Linked DNA regions of Coturnix japonica. The protein of the gene in region 2 interacts with the protein of the main gene of each other region in a pairwise test. Links are inferred from orthologs where the notes say so. Each region holds a gene or a part of one and is shown on either strand. Other genes may lie near its edges. The genes, in order: PARP11 and GTPBP3.

Evidence for each region.
Region 1: the proteins of GTPBP3 (region 2) and PARP11 interact in binary tests that used the Homo sapiens proteins (3 or more experiments, as listed by UniProt). The two-hybrid records come from large-scale screens. The link is inferred for Coturnix japonica from reciprocal best matches to the Homo sapiens genes GTPBP3 and PARP11.

What each region holds. Positions count from the first base shown.
Region 1 is NC_029516.1:68,158,349-68,167,216, forward strand, and holds the start of PARP11 (protein mono-ADP-ribosyltransferase PARP11), read right to left. Parts: upstream 3,824-8,868; 5' UTR 3,695-3,823; coding exon 3,659-3,694; intron 3,621-3,658; exon of another isoform or gene 3,431-3,620; intron 1,130-3,430; exon of another isoform or gene 1,069-1,129; coding exon of another isoform or gene 1,042-1,068; intron 611-1,041; coding exon 482-610; intron 387-481; coding exon 266-386; intron 1-265. UniProt on the Homo sapiens protein: Mono-ADP-ribosyltransferase that mediates mono-ADP-ribosylation of target proteins. Plays a role in nuclear envelope stability and nuclear remodeling during spermiogenesis. Inhibits the type I interferon activated signaling pathway.
Region 2 is NC_029543.1:2,482,800-2,493,196, forward strand, and holds GTPBP3 (tRNA modification GTPase GTPBP3, mitochondrial), read left to right. Parts: upstream 1-4,942; 5' UTR 4,943-4,970; coding exon 4,971-5,235; intron 5,236-5,669; coding exon 5,670-5,756; intron 5,757-5,841; coding exon 5,842-6,044; intron 6,045-6,123; coding exon 6,124-6,196; intron 6,197-6,267; coding exon 6,268-6,411; intron 6,412-6,537; coding exon 6,538-6,703; intron 6,704-6,783; coding exon 6,784-7,059; coding exon of another isoform or gene 7,060-7,063; exon of another isoform or gene 7,064-7,072; intron 7,073-7,181; coding exon 7,182-7,407; 3' UTR 7,408-7,450; downstream 7,451-10,397. Other genes in the region: ANO8 (anoctamin-8), read right to left, coding at 1-78, 191-301, 549-657; PLVAP (plasmalemma vesicle-associated protein), read right to left, coding at 8,768-8,774, 8,842-8,920, 9,000-9,102, 9,359-9,948, 10,131-10,221. UniProt on the Homo sapiens protein: GTPase component of the GTPBP3-MTO1 complex that catalyzes the 5-taurinomethyluridine (taum(5)U) modification at the 34th wobble position (U34) of mitochondrial tRNAs (mt-tRNAs), which plays a role in mt-tRNA decoding and mitochondrial translation.

The DNA.
Region 1 (8,868 bases), on a different chromosome or scaffold from region 2:
TTTGGTTTGGGTTTTTTTGGGTTTTTTTGTTGTTGTTGTTGCTTTTTTTTTCCCCAAACAACATTATTACATCAAAAGGTGCTTGAAAGGAATTCCTATTTCAACAATTAATAAACCAACATCTGAGATAAAAAACTCAGAATACTGGCCTCACTATTAGGAGTTATTTATAAGAGTTGACAAGAATTGAGAACACTACACAAAGCAAATGAACTGGTGTACCTGACATCTCTGTTATTTAAGTTAATCCTATGAATATACATACCTGAAAAGTCTAGTGTGTAGTTAAATTTTGCAGTAGTAAAAGAAACAGAACCATATGGGTTTGTTCTGAAGCTCCTTTCAATATCTTCACTGCTAACTGAGCAATGACTATTTGAATCAGTCTTCAAAATAAATGAAAAAGTACATTTAGACATTTTCATCAATAGGTTGTTTGACATACAGAGGTCGAAAGTAATGTAACTTTGTTTGTAGTTACCTGAAACATATGCCATTTACCACACTCAGCCAAATAAAACCAGCCCCACTGAGTATCTGAGGTATCCATCTCTTCAACTGAACTTTCCATCTTTGGAAAGAGTTCTTCAGGTGTTCTTTGAAACATTTCCTGAAATATTTGCACGCATATCAAGTTTTTTGTGATACTCTTTGCAAAAGTACATTATTTGAGAAATTCATTAAAGGAAAAAAAAAAAAAGAAAAGAATAATAATAAAGAAGTGAATTGCAACTCTTAAATAAAAAAACATGGTTAGGTTACTTTCTGTTTTACAGAGGAAATTTCTCTGTACTCTACTTATTCGCTATTATCCTTCATGCTAGTTAAACATTTTTAAAGCTAACTCTTTCTCATATTTCCATAAGCATGCCCAGCCAGGAGGAATCTATATGCTATAACATATCAATGAAAGTTTCTTATACTGATAAACCTACGAACAAGCTATTCTTATAACGAAACACAGTCAAATGCACTACATAGGAATAAGGTGCTGGAGTTGCATTATAGCTTGACAAAAGCATCTACTAGATAGATACTCACCATGCATAAACTGATCGTACCAGACATTAGGAGATGTTATAAATAAAAATAAAAGTCCACAGTGCACTGCTTCTCAACACTGCATTAACTTAAAAATGATACAACAAAATTACTTAGCACTCTGTTCTGGTACAATGGATCACACAGAAAAAAAACAGGCTTTCAAACACTATTACCACCATATTTAGGGGGAAAAAATAACATTTGAAAAGTTACAACACAGGTCTATAAAAGTATAGCAAAATTGAGTAGGGAATAACTGATGACATTTTCTCTCTATGTGAAAAGACACTCATCAGTGTTTGCATGTGTTAAGTTCACAACAATCTAAAGAGAAACTTCATAATAGATGGCAAACTGTGATATTGCTTTCTACATCATGCTGTGGATACTGCAAGTTTATGCAAGTTTAAGAAGTGGCTAAACAAGTTCATGCCTCCCAACAGCTATGCCAGTATACCATTTGAATTATCTTAGCCAGTTCCCTTCCCTCATTCAACAATAAAATCCTGAAAACCCTGAAAGTATTTGACTCTAATTACATATACAGCTTAACATACCAGCTCTAACCTTTAACACCCCCCCCCCCCCCCCACCAAACATCAAAATATGAAGCACTGGGTGAACTTTCAGAGGAAGTATGACCTCCTCCCAGAAAGTACTAGAAATTCATCCAGACAAACTGCTTAACCATGACTGCACTCTTCCCATCAGTTTCCTCAACTTAACTTTTTCTTTCAAGTAGTAGAACAATGTGTTCTAGTATAAATAATCCAAATCAAGTACAGTTAATATCCTGAATGCTTTAGATCCTTCATGAACACTTCAACCCAGAAAAAGGTAAATAGCAACCTGAAGAATGCATACACTAGAAACTAGACATAGGCACCAACTGGCCAGTGCCACTGGGGCAGGAGTTCAGAGCAGAAAAATGCTAGCAACACCCTCTGCCTTATTTGCTCTCTGTGTTTGTTCTACAAACAATCCTAGAAACCTCTTCATGGAAGCAGCTAAAGTCTGCATCTAAAATGTGGAATGACTGTTTATCACCATAAGCGCCATAAGAGTAAGAAAACCACTCTCTGTTCCATTCTTCACAACAATACAAAGCCATAGAGCCTACATTCACTTAGTTTTAAAGCACAATTGGCCAAACATCTTCTGATGATCAACTTCCACCTTCAACTTGATTCTTCTGATTACATGAGTATTTGGCCCTGTTCTATTCTACAGGCTGATATGCTGTAGTCCACACACATTTTTACAGCTAAGAGGAATACAATCCAGGCTTTTTTGGTAATCTTAAGTTTCCTTATGTTTCTACTAAAATTGTCAGATTGCTGCAACATGCCAACATTAGTTCAGGGCCCTGAATCTGATAATTCACATCAGTACTGGCTTTCAAACAAGTTATGAACAGTGAAGACATATTCACCTGTGCCCCATCAAAACAGATTTATGCATATGGAAAGAACACAGCTTCCAGGATAAACTATTGATTAAAGACAGAAGTATTCCCACAGTTTTAAAAATTCAGACCATAGGCACTACCTTTAGACGGGAAGTACAGGGTAAACAAGTAGGTTCCAGATACTTCTAAGGAAGAATGACTCAAATACATAAACACAACAAAAGAGATGTTCTCAAAAGTGATGCAAATGTAAAACGCTTGAAGAAAATTACTCAGCTTACCGAGGAATTTAACCACTATATACACACCAATTATAAAGCAAATGTAGCTTTTTGTCCAAAACCTATGAACACATGCATAGTGAACAGAAATGTATCAACGGACTTTCTGGATGACAGGTTGTCAACTATCAAAGATGCAGCAGTGAGAATTTTATTAGCAATGCTATTTCTAAACATGTCGATTTCCATTAATATCACTTTCAAAAATGGTCCCATAAACATCTTAAAGGCAACACTACTAATTTTGACAACAAAATTCTCCTTCTAAATAGAGCTAATTTGTGTGCTGTGCTGTGACTAGTGTGGCTTTATTATTACTCCTAACCTCATATACCTATTAGCTCTTTTAAACTTGAATAAGCATGTTTTAAGGCACATCCAGATGGGCTGCTTTCTTGCAGCGTCCATTTAGCATATTACTGTTGAAGACTGCTTTACCTAAAAACATTATCCAAGGGTCTGATGTGAAAACATGCACCATGGCCGGTGGCCTCTTATGTATGGCCTCATGGTATGTGATCAGGTATGTGATCTTAAAAAAGAGTATAGGGCTGGGAAGTGGAAGTGAGAAGGAAGAACTGCATTAGAACAAGCACAGGGAACAATACGTGATAACCTCCAGATCTATATCACATTTCCCACAGTACAGAGGGGCAACGTTGTACGGGGGAAAGCGTTAATCCACACACGGCACCACTACCTCCCGATCTGTCTCTCATGCTCCTCCGAAAATGGAGAAGATGGCGGCCTATACCACCATCCCCTCTTCCCCGATGTTGCAACGCTGTCGCTCCCCACGCCTGCGGCGGGTATGATGGAGTGAGGCGGGGCCGGCCAGGAAACGGCAGCACGTAGCGAGGAGGCGGGTGAGGAGCATATGGAACGGAGCGGCCATTACCCCCGTCCCCCTCCCGCGCGCACTCACCGCATCTGCCGCCCACCCCGAGTTCGCTCCCCACATGTTGGCCGGAGAGTGGGGAGGAGTGTACGTGTTGGGGGAGGAGACGGGGGAGAAGGAAGCAGGCCAAGCGTAGCAGTGCAAGTCACGTCACTGCTTACACCCCGGACGCTTCCGTTACCGATAGCAGAAGAAAAGGGAGGGGCAACAGTTGTTACTGGCAACGCTACATCGGATCGTCACATAGAGAGGCGAGGCCTGGTATGCAAATTTCTAGCGGAGTGGGCGGGGTTGAAGTAGGATGTAAGGGAGCGTTTTGTGTTTGATTTTGTATCGTGCCACGAAGAGACAGCGCTCAGTGGCGCTCTGTGGAGCTGTGGCTTGGCGTGCTGGCTGTGTGGGCCGGTCTCCCTGGAGCAGCTGTGTGACATTTTGTCAGTTGTAGGTTCTTCGGCAGTCTTTTAACCACCCTCTGATGTGTTCTTTTAATTATTGGCTGTATTTGTGGATAAGAAGGGTCTTCCTCTCTGCAAAAGATTTTTCACAGCCCATAATTTTCCTTAAGAGCCTTTATATATATTCTTTGCACGTAGCCATCTGTGTCACCAGCAGGTAAGGCAGCTCTAAGAAGATTATCTAATGAAAATATGAATAAAAGCTGCAGCCTACCATGTTATCCATCAAGTTGATCTTCAGAGTATGAAAAATGAACACTCTGGGCAGCTTTACCTGTAATCAAGATCGAAAAGTGGCAGCAGCTCTAGGAAGGGCTTCTGGTAAGAGGACATAGTCATACACATGCCTTACCCGAGTCCTTCAAGGGAAACCTCTATGATGAGAGCTGCTGAGTGGAAGAGCTGTCACTGTCCAACCCATAGATGCAAGTTGCAGTCTTAGGAAACTGTGCTGGAAGCTAGCAGATAGGCCATTGTGTAATCCAAAATCTGGGAAGAAAACTCTCCAACTCCAATGTGGTGTTAGAAAGCAAATTTCCTTTATTCCTCGTGATGCGATAACATACCTGGCAACCTGAAAAGCAATTGCACCCTCTTAGAGTTCAGGTTCTACATTTGAACAGCTAATACATGCATATGCAGTACATCGGTGTACACATTTGTTCTTTTTAAAAACCTCATAAATACATGCTAATAGGGCATGCTCACTGGTATCTAGAGTAGTTGAGTGCCTACCTGCTTCTTCCCCCCTTTTCACCATCAGCTCAATCAATGAAGCCTTTGGCTCACTTGCATCTCCTTTTCCCTGCTTTGGAAGATTTCTAATGCTTATTAGGCCATAGTAAGCCACTTTTTTAAAAAACAGTGTAAACCAAGGAAAATGTCCTTGCACATTTTGAGGCAAAAGATAAAAGTATTCTATTGTGACTCCAGTACTTCTTGTGAGGCAAAATCATTGAGGCAGAAGATAAAAGTATTCTATTATGTCCCCAGTGTAAAATTATTGAGGAAAAACAAGACTCTTCACCCAGTAAAGCTGAAATGGACAGTTTTACAACTGTAGCTTGTGGATTCCTTTTGCTAAACTAATAAATTGGTTCTTAAACTAATGTGCTAATTGCTATTGCTAAAAAAATCCAACCTATATCAATTGTAGTAAAATTGTGCAAGTCCTGTGAAGTATGTCCTGCTGTGAAGGATTTTCATTGGGCAACTGTTGTGGATTAACCTCAGCAGTCAGTAAAGAACCACACAGCTTCTTGCTCAGTTCTCTGCAGTATGGAAGAGAAAAGGAAGGGTAGAAGCGTGAGAACTTGCAGGTTGAGATAAAATGTCTAAAATGTATGAAAGACAGTTTGACGGGTAAAGCAAAAGCTGTGTTCACAAGCAAAGCAAGATGAGGAATTCATTTACTAGTTTTCACTAGCAGGCAGATGTTCAGCTGTTTCCAGTACAGCAGAGCATGCCATGCATATCAGTTTCTTGGGAAAATAACGTTATCATCTTACATCTCCCTGCAGTCCCATTTCTTATCTTTTCATCTAGTTTTAACTGCTGCTTTAACATGATGTTTTACAGTATGTAAATCTTCCTTGTCAGTTTAGATCACCTACACTGGCTGTTTCCACTCATATCTTCTTTTGCACCCCCAGCTGGATGGATTGTGAAAGAAACAGAAAAGGCCTTGGTACTGTGTAAGCTCTGTTAAGAGGCACCTGAAACATTAACGTATTATGACCACTTTTCTGATCACAGATCTAAAGCACAGCATCATACAAACTTTGATAAATATTAACTCTATCTCAGTCAAAACTGGTACAAAGAAAAGCCAAATTAGAAAAAGGGTGGATTTAAAATCATAAAATCATAGAATCATTAAGGTTGGAAAGGACCTCTGAGATCATTTAGTCCAACTGTCCACCTACCATCAATATTTCCCACTAATCCATATCCCTCAATACCAGTTCTACATGTTTCTTAGACACCTGCAGTGACAGTGACTCCACCACCTCTGTGGGCAGCCCATTCCAGTGCCTGACTGTTCGTTCTGAAAATAATTTTTCCTAATGACAAGTTTCTTATATTCTAAAGGAATTTCAGGCAGGATAAATGTCAAGATTCTGGCTGACCTCACCTCTGAGATTAAAAAAATGTTATCTTTTCTGAGTTTGAACAGCATCTGATGAATTGCTGAGAGTATTTCACTGCCATGAATGTGAGGTTTCAAGAATGAAGCAATTTTCCAGAAGTAGGGACATCTTTTTAAAAAAAAAACAAAACATGACTGTGAGGATGTAGCCTTTCTGTGCTTTTACAAACAGTATAGAAATAAGAGAGGATTATCACTTTACCTGTTGCAAAATACACTTATTTTTTCTTTTTTTTTTTTTTTCTTTTTTCTTCTTTTTCTTTTTTTGAAAAGGTGCTGACAATGCTTTGCATGTAAAATATAAACCTTTTCTAGGTATACAGACAGACCTTTTCTAGGTTGAGAATCACGTACCATTAAACATAGCATATCATAATGACATCAAGGTCTGAGAAAAACAGCTGAAATACAATGAGATGAAGTCAGAGAATCAGATAATGTCAAGAGCAGAAGGCTGCCAACACCAGTGTAGTTTCTCAAGTGTGATCCAAGTGCCTGAATGGGACTGCTCCCTGGACACTGTTTTAATGACTAAACTTTGCTCTTCACACTTCTTTGCCTGTGTTTATAGTGTAGTTTTTCTGTGCTCTAGTGTACATACCATGTCTGCACTGAACTCTTTCAATCTGAGATTTCAATAGAAAGGTTAATTCTACACATAGAGAAAAAGAGGCTTTCCAGCAGCTTGGTGCACTCCTTTCCTGCAATACCCTAAGAAAAGGATGCAGGGATTACTACCAACCTTGATCAATGTCAGGAGAGGTCATTTCTGTTCAGCTCAACCCTAGTGAATGATGTTCATGTAGGGAATGGCTTCTTTGTGTAGGCTCTCTTATCTCTGCTCCCAGTTTTGGGCAAAGACTTCTCAGAAGAAAAAAAATCTTGTGTCTAATTACACTGTGCAGCAGAAGAAACTGTGGGTAGTTTCTTCTCTGCTTGGGGAATGAAGTTAGTGAGACTGAAGTGATTGCAGAAAAGCCTACTTTGCAAACTGTGTGATCAGGTTGTCTAGGAACTCTGAAGAGCACAGCCACCCATAAGAAGAAGCAAAATTAATTTCCATGTCTCTGCACTGTATATCCTCATGGTTCTCAGGAATATCTTTTCTACTTCCAGACCCAAAAGGTATCTCTGAAGGCCTTCATCAGGGAACATCTGAACAGAATGGACATATATTCATCCATGGGACTTGCCATCATGCAAATACAGATGAGACAGATGATGCAGTTGCAACAGTACTCAGTTTTCCTTGGAATGTCATAATGATCACAGCTTCCTAAGGACTAGAAAAGAGCAAATCTCAAGAAAAGCAAGAAAGAGGATCCAAGGAACAACAGACTAGTCTGCCTGGCATTGATTCTGGGAGAAGTGATGGAACAAATCCTTCTGGAAATTATTTTCAGTAATATGAAGGTAATTGGCAGTTGACTTCCAAAGAGATATCAAGTCTGACTAAATTCTCCAGTGGAACAATTTTCTTCCTAATGAGAGAAACTACCTGAACTGCTGAGCTCAAGTAATTGCTTCCAGTGGCATAAGGACCGTGCATATGATTAAGGGATTAGAGCATCTGACATGTAAAAAGAGTGAGAAATCTGAAATTATTTAGCCTCAAGAATAGAAGGTTTGTCAAAACCTAGCAGCTGATAGTGGGGGCAGAGCAAGGAATATAGAATCAAATTCTTGGTGGCATCTAGTGAAACGACAAGCAGCAATGGACACAAATGAAAATACAGGAAATTCCAATTAAACCTAAGAAAAACTTAATACTACCCTTACATTGTGTATGACCAATTGCAGACACAGTTAGTCTAGGGAGGCTGCAGTTTTCATCCTTTGAGCTATTCAAAATCTTTCTGGACAAGGCTTATGCTTTGAGAAGTGAAGTTGGGCTAGATAATTTCCAGAGACCTCTTACAACCTCAGTCATTCTGTGAAAGGTGTTCAATGCATCCTTGAAAATCTTGCCAAATTCTTCCCTTCCTTTTGTTGTTCCTGTCCGTTACATGAGTACTGAGGAGTTGGTGTTTCAGAACTGGAATGATCACATCCTGTAGCTCAGGTTCCTCTTTGGTATTTTCACACAATAAAAACAGCATAATCTCCCCTTTTCTCCAGCTCCTTTTGATGTAGCTGAGCCAAATCCTGGCTTTGTTGCCTATGTGGTTGGTTTTCTTATTTGCACTCAAGGGACCTCTGACTGCTACCAGTGTGATTCTTCTTCCCAGAGTCTCTGGCACTAATCTGTGCATGTAAAGCACATCTTCCCTCTTCTTTATGTACCTCTTCACTGTCCCCCCACTCAGCCCCATCTGGAGGTAGATATTGGTGCCAACATTGTTTATTAACTACCTGGGCAGTGGGATGGAGTACCCTACAGCAAGGGGAATGTGGTCCATACACTGAAGGGGAGGTCTACCATGTAGACAGCTCTCAACAGACTGAAGAAAAGACAGAACAGAATGAAGAAAACAGGAATTTTCTGAGTTTCAGTAAGAGAAAAATAAAGGAAATTCTGTAGCTGGGATGGAATAACCCCATCCTACAGTACAGATCGGGGGCCAATCTGAAAGAAAGCATCTTTACAGAAGATGACATCAGTAAATCTTATTGATGAGTATTAGCAAAAGGGT
Region 2 (10,397 bases):
GCACCTGCACGATGAGCTCGGGGATGCCGAGGCGGATGTGGTTCAGCAGCCAAAGCAGTGTATGGTCATCTGTGCTGTCTATTGGGGTGGGAGGGCAATGATATGTCCACAGCCCCGTGCCCACATCCCCCACCTCTGACCCATGGCTCTGAGGAGCTCTGTGTTCCCAGCCCCCTGCCCCCCCTTGTACCTGGGAAGGTCATGAGCACGTCGCAGTTCTCGGTGGGCACCGTCTTCATCCAGGCTTTGTGGGACATGATGTAACGCCCGGCTTGGAGCAGTCGCTTCCCAAAAAGCTTGTCTGTAGGGAACCAAATGGCTCCGTCACCCCCCATCACCCACCCCATTAACCCCATTAACCCCATAACCCCACAGCAATGGGTCGGCTGCCAGCACAGCCGCAATGGGAACAGCGATTGCAATGGCCGTAGCTCAGGTTTCTCCTCTGGGTGCCTGAAAAAGCCCCGACAGCTGCAGGAGGTGACACATGGCCAGGCATGGTGTAGCACAGCCCCCTCCCAGCCCCACTGCCCCCCCCCCCAGCTCACCTCTGCCTGCAGCCCCACAGCGGTGCTGGGATCCAATGCGGCCGCAGCGCCGGGAGATGGGAAACGGCAGCAAAAATGGGGGGGGAGTGAAAAAGCAGCCTGTCTCCATGGAAACATGGGGAGGCCCCGTGTGGTGGTGATACGTAGGGATGGGGATGGTCCCCAGGGTCCCATTGTCCCCCCCCTGGATGGTACCCAGCACCCGTCCTGCTCTGGGGTGGCTGTGATGGAGGGGTTGCTGTCCCCCTGCTCACTGTCCCCATTGGGGTGCATGGGGACCCCTCACATCCCAGCCTGGCTGTGGGGCAGGATGAGGCCCCATAGAGCCAGTGGGTCCCAATGCCCTCTGTCAGCTCCAGGTCACCTCTGTGCCTCAGTTTCCCCTTTTGCAACTGGGCAGGGACGTCACTGCTTGCCCCAGGGCAGGGAAGGTTGTGGGGCACAGGAAATCCTACACACACCGGGCAGGAAATGCCAGACATCCATAAGGACAAACATTGGGATGTGCACTAAGACCGGCATCAGGACCTGGGACACACACCAGGCCCCGTCCCAGCCCAATTCCATGCCCCCCATCCCAGCTGAGACCCAGCAAACTCATCTCCTATGTCACTGCTGTGAGCTGTGGGTGCAGGACCAGGACGGCACCGGGCTGGCAGCCAGAAGGGGTGGAGGGGCAGATCCTATGTAGGGGGGGGGCACCACTCACCCACCCCACACACAGGGACAGCCCTGGGGGTGGTGCAGGGCCTTGCACAAGTGTGGCATTGTCAGCTCTAACACAGCTGCAGAGCTGGGATGGCACCGGGGAAGAGGCTTCAGCTGGGGATGGGGTGACTCCCTGGGACCCCCCCCCAACTCTACCTCATTCACACTGCCATACAATGGGACCCCCAGGCTCAGTGGGTCCCCTGTGCTGGGGCATGGATGGGGATGATTCAGTGCTGCTGTATTATTGATGGCCACAAAGGGACGTGTGGGGAGGGGGCACTGGGGGGGGGGCACCACACACACATGTGCCATGCCATGCCATGTGTGTGACCCCACGGTGCCACACGTGTGACTCCATGGCACAACCTCAATGGCACCACACTGCCCCACAGAGCCGTGGGGTCACCAAGAGAGACATGGCGGGGGGGGGGGGCTGCAGAGGGGTCCCAGAATGGGCTTTGTCCACTTGAAGGTGACTAGGAGGTGGGGGGGGGATGTTTCTGCCCCCTCCTCCAGCCGTGGGGCCATTCCTGCTCCATGTCCCCACGGACCCCCCCAGGTCCTCCCGGTGCCACCCTGCATTGTGGGGACATCACAGCCGCCCAGCCACCGCTCACCTTGGGGTAAGGTCACCGCAGCCGCAGGGCTCCGGGTACCCAACCGCTGCCACCCGCATCGGGAGCACCGGGCGGTACCGCGGGGGGGGGCACAAAGTGGGTCACCCTCCCACCACGAATCCCCTCGTCCCAACGCGGTCGCATCCCCGGTGGTGTCACCCCGCTCGGTGTCACCCGCCGCGGGGACCCGCTGACAAAGCCTTCATCCCTCAGCCCCCGCCCCCACCCGGCCCTGGGGAGGTCGGGGTGGGGGGGGAGGGAAGGGGAGGTAAAAAGGGACATGGCTGGAGGGGGGGGGGGCAAAAATGGCCCTTCCCTGGGGTGGGGGGGGCTACAATGGTAAGGAGGGGGCACAGCTTGCCCGAGGGCCGGGGGGGTACCGCTGCTGTTCTTCCCGCCACAACGGGCGCTTTATGGGAGGGGCAAACGGGGGGGGGGGGGGGTCACAGCAGAGTCCTGAACGGACCCCCGAACCGGGTGTAGGGACGCGGTATGCCCAGCAATGTGCCGGGGCCCAGCACGGACCCCCCCGGGCATGAGAGGGGAGGACGCATCAAGTACCAACCCACCCCCCACGGACCGCAAGCGGGCTGCCCGGAGCGGCCGCGCCGCATTGGAACCGCAAAGGATCCGGCCCCCACGTCCCCCGCCCCAAATGCTCCCCCAAACCCACAATACCGGTTCGTACGTCCCTGCCCCCCTCCTCCTCCATCCCCGCTGCCAACCTACCCAAGACCGCCCCCCGGGGCGCCGGCTTCTCGTCCGTTCGTCCCCAGGGCGGGGACCCCCCTTCCGGGCCGTATTCTCCGTACGTGGCGGTGCCCGCGGGCCCGGTTCAGGGCATGATGAGGGGGCTTCCGGGCTGCGGCGGAGGCCTTCGGTCGGAGCGGCCGCGCAATGGGGTACCGAGTCGGTCCGTGGGTCGGAGCCACCGCGAACCGAGCCCGAAACCGGCCGCCCTGCGCCCCGGACGGGAGGAGGAGGAGGAGGGACAAAGGCGGCGGAGCGCCGCGCTTCGGGCCCCGGCAGCGTTGGTTGGATTGGCAAGCGCCAAGAATGTGGGGCCGCGACGGCTGCATCCCCCCCCCCCCTTCAGAGCCTGGCACCCCCACCCTTAAGTTGCCTGCAAAACCCCCCCCAATTCCTTCCCCATCCCACCCGCGCCAACCCTATCACCACCGCTGTGCCCCACCAGCATCCTCCCAGTCCCCTCCTGTTACAAATCCCCCCCCCCTGCTGTACATCTGCCACCCCAAATTCCACATCAGAACCCCCGTTCCCCAATCACCCGACATCCCCCCCCCTGCTCCCCCAATCCCATGTTCTCCCCCCACACCGCAGGCACACAGAGACGCCGCAGCCTCCGGGCTTCAAAGCTTGCTAAACATATTTACGGTTTGTGATACTTGGCACCGCCGCGCGCGGAGGGTAAAACAACCGAGCGGGGCCCACGCCACCTTGCCCCCCCGCTGACATTTGGGATCCCTCCCACCACCCCCCCACCCCCAACAGCCCCCACACTCAATGACTCAATGAGGGAGGGGGGGGGGGGCAATGGAACACCCCAGACCCCCCCGCAAAGTGCCCATAAAGAGGATAGGATGGGGGGGTTGGCACCACGTGCATGCCCACTGCTCGACCCCCGTGCCGCAAATGTGATTATCGGGGGCGTGGGGATCCCATACAGGGTCGTGTCCCCCCCCGGCTCTGTGTCTATTTTGGCACTGTCTGTCAATGCTGAGGGTTGGTGCCACCCGGCCATCCCATTTAGGGACCCACTGAACCACCCCGCCCCAATAGCCAGAGCCACCCCAGCGGGGTTTATACCCCCATTAAGGGCCCTGCCCCAGGTGGATCATGGGGACCCCAATGGGGGGGTGGGCAAATTGGTGTACACAATGGGGCTGATGGGGGCGGGGGGGGGCCAATGATGGGGCCACTAGAATCCCATCCGTGCCCCCAGTCCCTCCCGCGATCCCCCCATCATTCCCTGCCATCTACCCTCCCTTCCCTCTCTCCTCCATTCCCCTCCCAAAGATTCCCTCCTCCATCCTCCCACTATCCCCCGCCCTTCCCCTCCCCCCTCCTTTGATCTCCGCTCCATGGTCCCCATCTCATCCTACCAGTCCCCCCCCCCCCTCCCTCCTACTTAAAATTGCCTGGCAAGCGTGAGGCGGCGACAGCGGGAAGCGCCCGTAAAACGCCTCAGGCTGCCTTGACGGCCAAATTCCCTCATCTTCGAGAAACCAATCAAGAAATAAGACTTTGGAGGGGACATAAACCCCGCCTCTTTTCAGCAGACAACCAATCGGTGGCTTGGAGTGGGCGAGGCGTTGTTGGTGTGGGCGTGGTTTGATTGGAGTGGGCGTGGCTTTTTTAAGGCTGGCGGTGGGCGGGGGCTTTTTGGGGTGCAGCATGGTCGCTGCGGAGGGCGCATGTAGTGCGGTGGGAAACGGAGGTGGGGGCAACCCTTAATGGGGGGCACCTTAATGCGGGGGGATGGGGGACCTTATAAATAGGGGGGGTGGAACCTTTAGGAGAGGGGTTGGGTTCACACATTAATGGGGGGGTAGGGCGCCATTAAAAGGGGCTGGCGACCATTAAAAGGGGGGTGGTCCCCAACCTAATGTGGCGGGGCGTGGGCGAATCCTTAACAAGGGGGGTGTGGCAAACTTAAAAAAGAGGAGGGTGGCGCCCACCATTAAATAAGCGTATGGGTGGGACCTTAATCGGGGGCGGTGGGCACCTAAGAAAGAGGCGGGTGGGGCAACCTTAATTCGGGGGGCTTGGGCACCTTAATGGGAGGGTGGGACCTTTGGTGGGGGTGTGCCTTGAGGGGCGGTTGCTCCTATGAGGCGGTGCAGGGGGTCCCAATGGGGGGGGGTGCAGCCCTAATGAGTGGGTGTTGTAAGGGGAGGGGGTGCATTGAGTGTAAGTTGGAAGGATTGGGGGGGGCACATACCATTGCTCATGGGTAAGTGAGGATGGGGGGGCCCTGGTTGTTGGTTGAATGGGGTTGGGGGGGGGGCACAAGCTTATGGGATGGGGGAGGGTCTTTTTGGGGGGGGGGGTCGTTGCACTTCCATACGCCTTTATGGGATGTTGTGTCCCCCCCCCCCCTCTAACTAGGTGTACACTGTGCTCGGTGGCCCCAGGGGACACCATCTTTGCCGTCTCCTCCGGACACGGGCGCTGTGGGGTGGCCGTTATCCGTACCAGCGGTCCCGGTAGTGGGGGGGCTTTACTCAGCCTTACCGGGAGCACCGAGTTGCCCCCCCCCCGCCTTATGACCCTGAGGCGCATCCGGGACCCCCACACCGCAGAGCTGCTGGACCGTGGGCTCGTTGTATGGTTCCCAGGTGGGAGATGGGGGGAGAAGATGGAATATGGGGGGTGGGTCCCCTATGAGGGTCTCAGTGGGGGGCACCGTGGAGGGCCCTGGGTTTGCAGTGGGGACTTATTGGACCCTGGAAGGGGCTGTTGGGTGCATGGGGGGGGGGTGACTGGGTGCTAATCAGGTGGATCTGGGGGTCTGATGTGGGTTTTGGGTGCCCAAGGGGGTGGATATCGGTGCCCATTGGGGGTCTGATGGGGGGTCAAAGGGTTTGGTGTAAGTTCTGGGTGCCAGGTGGGGGTCTGGTCATCACATGCAGCCCCTCTGTGCTGCCCTGGCTGCTCCAGCATCAAACACTGCCCCATTGTGCTGACCTTGCAGTGCAGCTGTGGGCATCGGGGGTCTCTCTCCAGCCCCCCATGCCCCCATGGGATTGAAGGCTCTCCCCATGCTCTACAGGACCCCAAAGCTTCACCGGGGAGGACTGTGCTGAGCTTCACGTGCACGGTGGGCCTGCAGTGCTGAGCGGAGTGCTGCGGGCACTGGGTGAGCCCTTCCCACCCCCATCCCCCTTGTTTTCCCCCCACCCTTTATCCCCCCCATCCCTCTCAATGCTGACAGCTGCTCTCAGGGCGCCTCTCTGGGCTCCGTCCTGCTGAGCCGGGTGAGTTCACCCGCCGTGCTTTCCACCGGGGGAAGCTGGACCTGACGGCAGCCGAAGGGCTGCGGGATCTCATCCATGCTGAGACTGAGGCACAGAGGCAACAGGCCCTGAGGCAGATGGAGGGTGAGCTGGGCAGGCTGTACCAGCGGTGGGGTGAGACCCTCACCCAGGTAGGGGCTTTTGGGGTCATCGGGTGGGGGGCTTGGGGATGCACAAGCTGTCTATGCTGACCCACATTCCACACCCCAGGCTCTTGCTCATATTGAAGCATACATTGATTTCAGTGAAGATGACAATGTAGAGGAAGAGGTGTTGTCCCAAGGTAAGGTAAGGAGGGGTGGGGGGATGCCCTGACCCTGCTGTGTCCTCACCCCCACCTCTGTATCCCTGCAGTGGATGAAGCTGTGAGGGCACTGGAGCAGGAGATCGCTGCCCACCTGCAGGATGGGCGCCGGGGGGAGCTGCTGCGCTCGGGGGTCCACGCTGTCATCGCCGGCCCCCCCAACGTGGGCAAGAGCAGCCTGCTCAACATGCTGTGTGAGTGGGGCACGGGGGGCTCCATGCGGCCGCCCCCCACCTGAGGCTGAGCCACATCCCCGATGCTATAAGGGTTTGTGTCCCTGGTGTCGTCCCCCTGAGCCCTGTGTCCCCCCCTGTCCCCAGGCCAGCGTCCAGCTGCCATCGTGTCCCCCATAGCGGGGACCACACGGGATGTGGTGGAGGTGTCCCTGAATGTCAGTGGTTACCCTGTGGTGCTGAGCGACACAGCGGGGCTGCGTGATGCCACCGACCCCATTGAACAGGAGGGAGTGAGCCGTGCTCGGGACCGGTGAGCTGGGGGGGGGGGCAGGATGTGGTACTGAGGGGGGGGCTGAGCAGGTGGTGATACAGCAGGTTGTGTCCCCACAGCCTTCAACATGCAGACTTAGTGCTGGCTGTGTTGGATGCCACCACGGTACCCACTGATCCAGCTGAGCTGGGGGCTGCTCTGGGCTCCCTGGTGCCCCCCAGCACCCCCTGCATCCTGGTTCTCAACAAGGCCGACCTGCTGGGGGGGCACAAGGGGGCTCTATGCGATGCCTGCACCCACGGACCCCCACTGCCCCCCACCACCCTGCTGTCCTGCAAGACGGGCGAAGGCACCGACAGCCTCCTACAGCTGCTGGGGCAGCAGCTGGCACAGCTGTGAGTGCCACGGGTATGGGGGGGGGGGCACAGGATGGCACCAGTCCTATCCATGCACAGATGGCTTTTGGTGGGGGGGTGGATGCTGCAGGGTGTTGTGCCTTCCTCCTTTCCCCTTCCAGGTGTGGAGACCCCCTGGCTGGCTCACCCACCCTGACGCAGAGCAGGCACAGCACCCAGCTGCATGGCTGCATGGCTGCACTGGTGCTGTACAGGCAGCAGCAGGACGTGGGGATGGCAGCCGAGCAGCTGCGCCTGGCACGGCGGCACCTGGGGCGCATCACGGGGCACGTGGGGGCTGAGGACATCCTTGATGTCATCTTCAGGGACTTCTGCATTGGGAAGTGATTGTTGGGGGGTCTGTTGGGGTATTAAACCGTGGTGCCTTGGGCTGGTCTGTATCTTTGCCCTGTGCCCATAGCACTAAGCCTGGTGTGGTGCTCTCTATGCTGGGGGGGGGGGAGCGTATCCTGAGCCCCAGCCGTGGGAAAAGCAGCTGGGAAGGGCTGTGCTTCCTGGCTGGGAGGATGCACTCAGAGCTGGAGTGTTGGTGATGGAAAATCCTCTGCTTCCCCCGTGGGCATCCCCTCCCCATTGCACGACATGGGGCCCATCGTGGTACCCTAAAGGTGGTGGTCCCAGCCCTAATGAGGTGGGTGCCCTCTTAGGGTGGGGGTCCCTGTGGCCCTTGTTGTTCTCACACCCCCCAGACGGGGCTCCCAGCAGTGCCACCATGCGTCAGGGCAGCCCTGCTACGTGGCTTTGCTTGTCTTATGAGTGATGGGGGGAGAGGGGGGGGTACCCAAAGGGACCCAGAGGTGCTGGTGGGGGGACAGGGACATTGCAATGTCCTGCAGTGGGCTGAGTGTCACTGCGTGGTGTTGGTGGCCTGCAGGTGGAGCGGGACCGGGGCTGCGGCGTGTCGGGTGTCAGGAAAAGCTCTTTAAACAGGAAAGAGAGGAACGCGAGGCCATAAATCACTGCACGGCCATAAATCACTGCACGGCCATAAATCACTGCGCCTCGGCCCCTGCGTGCCAAAGCTGGGGGGGGGCGGCGGGGACAGGGGGGACTGCAGGGCTTTATTGGGGACAGGGGGGGCTCTGCTTTGGCTGAGAGCTTCGCTCTCACTTCCCAACTGCACAGTGGGGAAAGCTCCGGGTTTAGCAGCAGGATGGGGGGGAAATGGCAGCTGCCCCAGGGGGAACCTTGACCTGACCCCTTCCCCACCCCCCCCCTCTTGGTGCTGGGGGAGTCCCTTACATCCTTGGCTTCTGCTCGGCCCCTTCTGGGAACAGCCTCCCCCTCTTCCTGATCTGTTTCCTCAGCCTCGCTACCTTTGCAGTGGGACGGGATGTTCCTGCCCCCCCCCCTCCCCAAACACTCTCTATGGCCTTTTTCCCCCATCCCAGCCCCCCCCCCCCCCAAGTCCAGCAGTGAAGCACACACGCAATGAGTTGTGTCAGTGCTCAGCACGGCTTGTATTCACAGCAGTTCCAGGTACACACACGTGGGCACCGAGCAGGGAGGAAGGAATGGATGGGCATCATGGGCTGGGGTTTGGTTGGGGAGGGGGGGAGTGGAAGGGGAAGGGGAGGAAGGGGGGGATGGGGCTCATTCCCTTCTCTCTCCTGGTTGGGGTTTTCCATCCGTGCCGCTCCGGGCTCATCCTGCTGCCCTCCAGCCCCTCACCACGGCTCTCCTCATGCTACCCACTGCAGGGAGAGCACAGTCAGCCCCATCCCCTCCCCATCCATCCATCTCCAGTGCCCACCTCCTCACCTGGGGTTCCTCATCATGGCCGTGTACTGCTCCAGCACGTTCTGCACCACTTTCTGGATCTCCTCAGTGTTGATTTTATCTGGCAGGATGAGAGCAAATGGGGTTCAAATGGGGGGGTTGAACTCAGTTGGGGCAGTGCCCGTAGGGGATGAACTCACCCTGATTCTGCAACAGATCCGCATAGGAGCTGGGGAAGGGGCCCGACCTTACGCTGCCCACAGCACTGCCTGGCACCCATGGGGCTGTGTAGTAGGTGCCCACCTGCAGAGGGGAGAGTTGGGTGTGTATGTGTGTGTCTGTGTTGGTTTCCCCTGGCCCTCGCCCTGACTGGGCATAGGGGACAGGGGTGGCACAATGTGGTGCTGTGAGCCCCATAGGGTTGTGCTAAAGGCTGTGGGCAAGAGCGCATCCCAGAGGGACAGGGTTAAAAAAGGTGCATGCAAAGAAGTGCCCGTGCAAAAGGAAATGTGCCAAAGTACCTCTGCAAAACCACACATTAAACACACCCAGTCCCTACCTTGGAGCTCATGCAGAGGCTGAGCTGCTGGCTGAAGTAGTTGGCTTGTGCAGCAACTTTGCTCTTCTCATCCAGCTCCTTGCTCAGCTTCTCCTTGTCCGCCAGCAGCTTCCTCCTCTCCTCCTGGCTGCCTTGCAGCTGCTGCTGCACCTCCTGCAGCCTCTTGCCCAGCTCCTGCTTCTCGTGGGAGCAGTTGAGGTGACACTGCTGCAAAGTCAAGTCGCAGACGCTCTTCCCCACGTAGTTGCTCTCGTGCTGCTGCTGCCTGGAGAAGAGCTCCTCGATGCGATGCATCAGCAGCCTCAGCTGCTCCTCCACTTGGCTGCAGCCGAAGTTCTTGTTGCTCATGCTCATGGTGCGCAGGTTGTACAGCACGTTGGAGCTCAGCGTGTCGCATTCCCTCCTCAGGTGATCCAGCTCTCCCTTGGTGGTGACGCAGTGAGCACCCGCCACCTTCAGATCCATCTGGCAACGTTCTTTCTCCTGCTTGGCTTTATCCAGGGCTGTTTCAGCCGTGCTGCAGTTCTGCCCCAGCTCCTTCCTCTGCTGCGTCGCCATGTCCAGCTGCTGCTGCAGCTGCTGCTTCTCGTCTGCATGGGGATGTGGAGAGTTGGGGTGCACCATGGGACCCCCACCCGTCACCCTGACCCTGCCCAGCCCGGGGGTACGTTGTGCATGGGATCCCTGAGGGTTATTGGGGACCCCCGTGCACAGACTCTGGGTGTGTAGGGGGGTCTGTGGGCCCTCAGGGGGTTGGGAAGGGGACCCTTACTGGCGCACTTGATGTTGATGAGGTTGATGCCCATGTAGCACTTCTCCAAGTGAGTCTTTTGGAAGATGATGGTCCTGTTCATGTCTTCTAGCTGGGGGGGAAAGCAGTGGGTTGGGGGAGGGGGGCAGGAAGGGAATGAGGTCAGTGTGGCCTCACGGCAGCACCAGGAGCACAGCCAAAGTGCCCCCAGGGATTGATGAGTCCAGAGATTGGAGCCCACCCTCCCCAACCCCTCACCCATCTCTCTGGGGTCCCAGGCAGAGGATC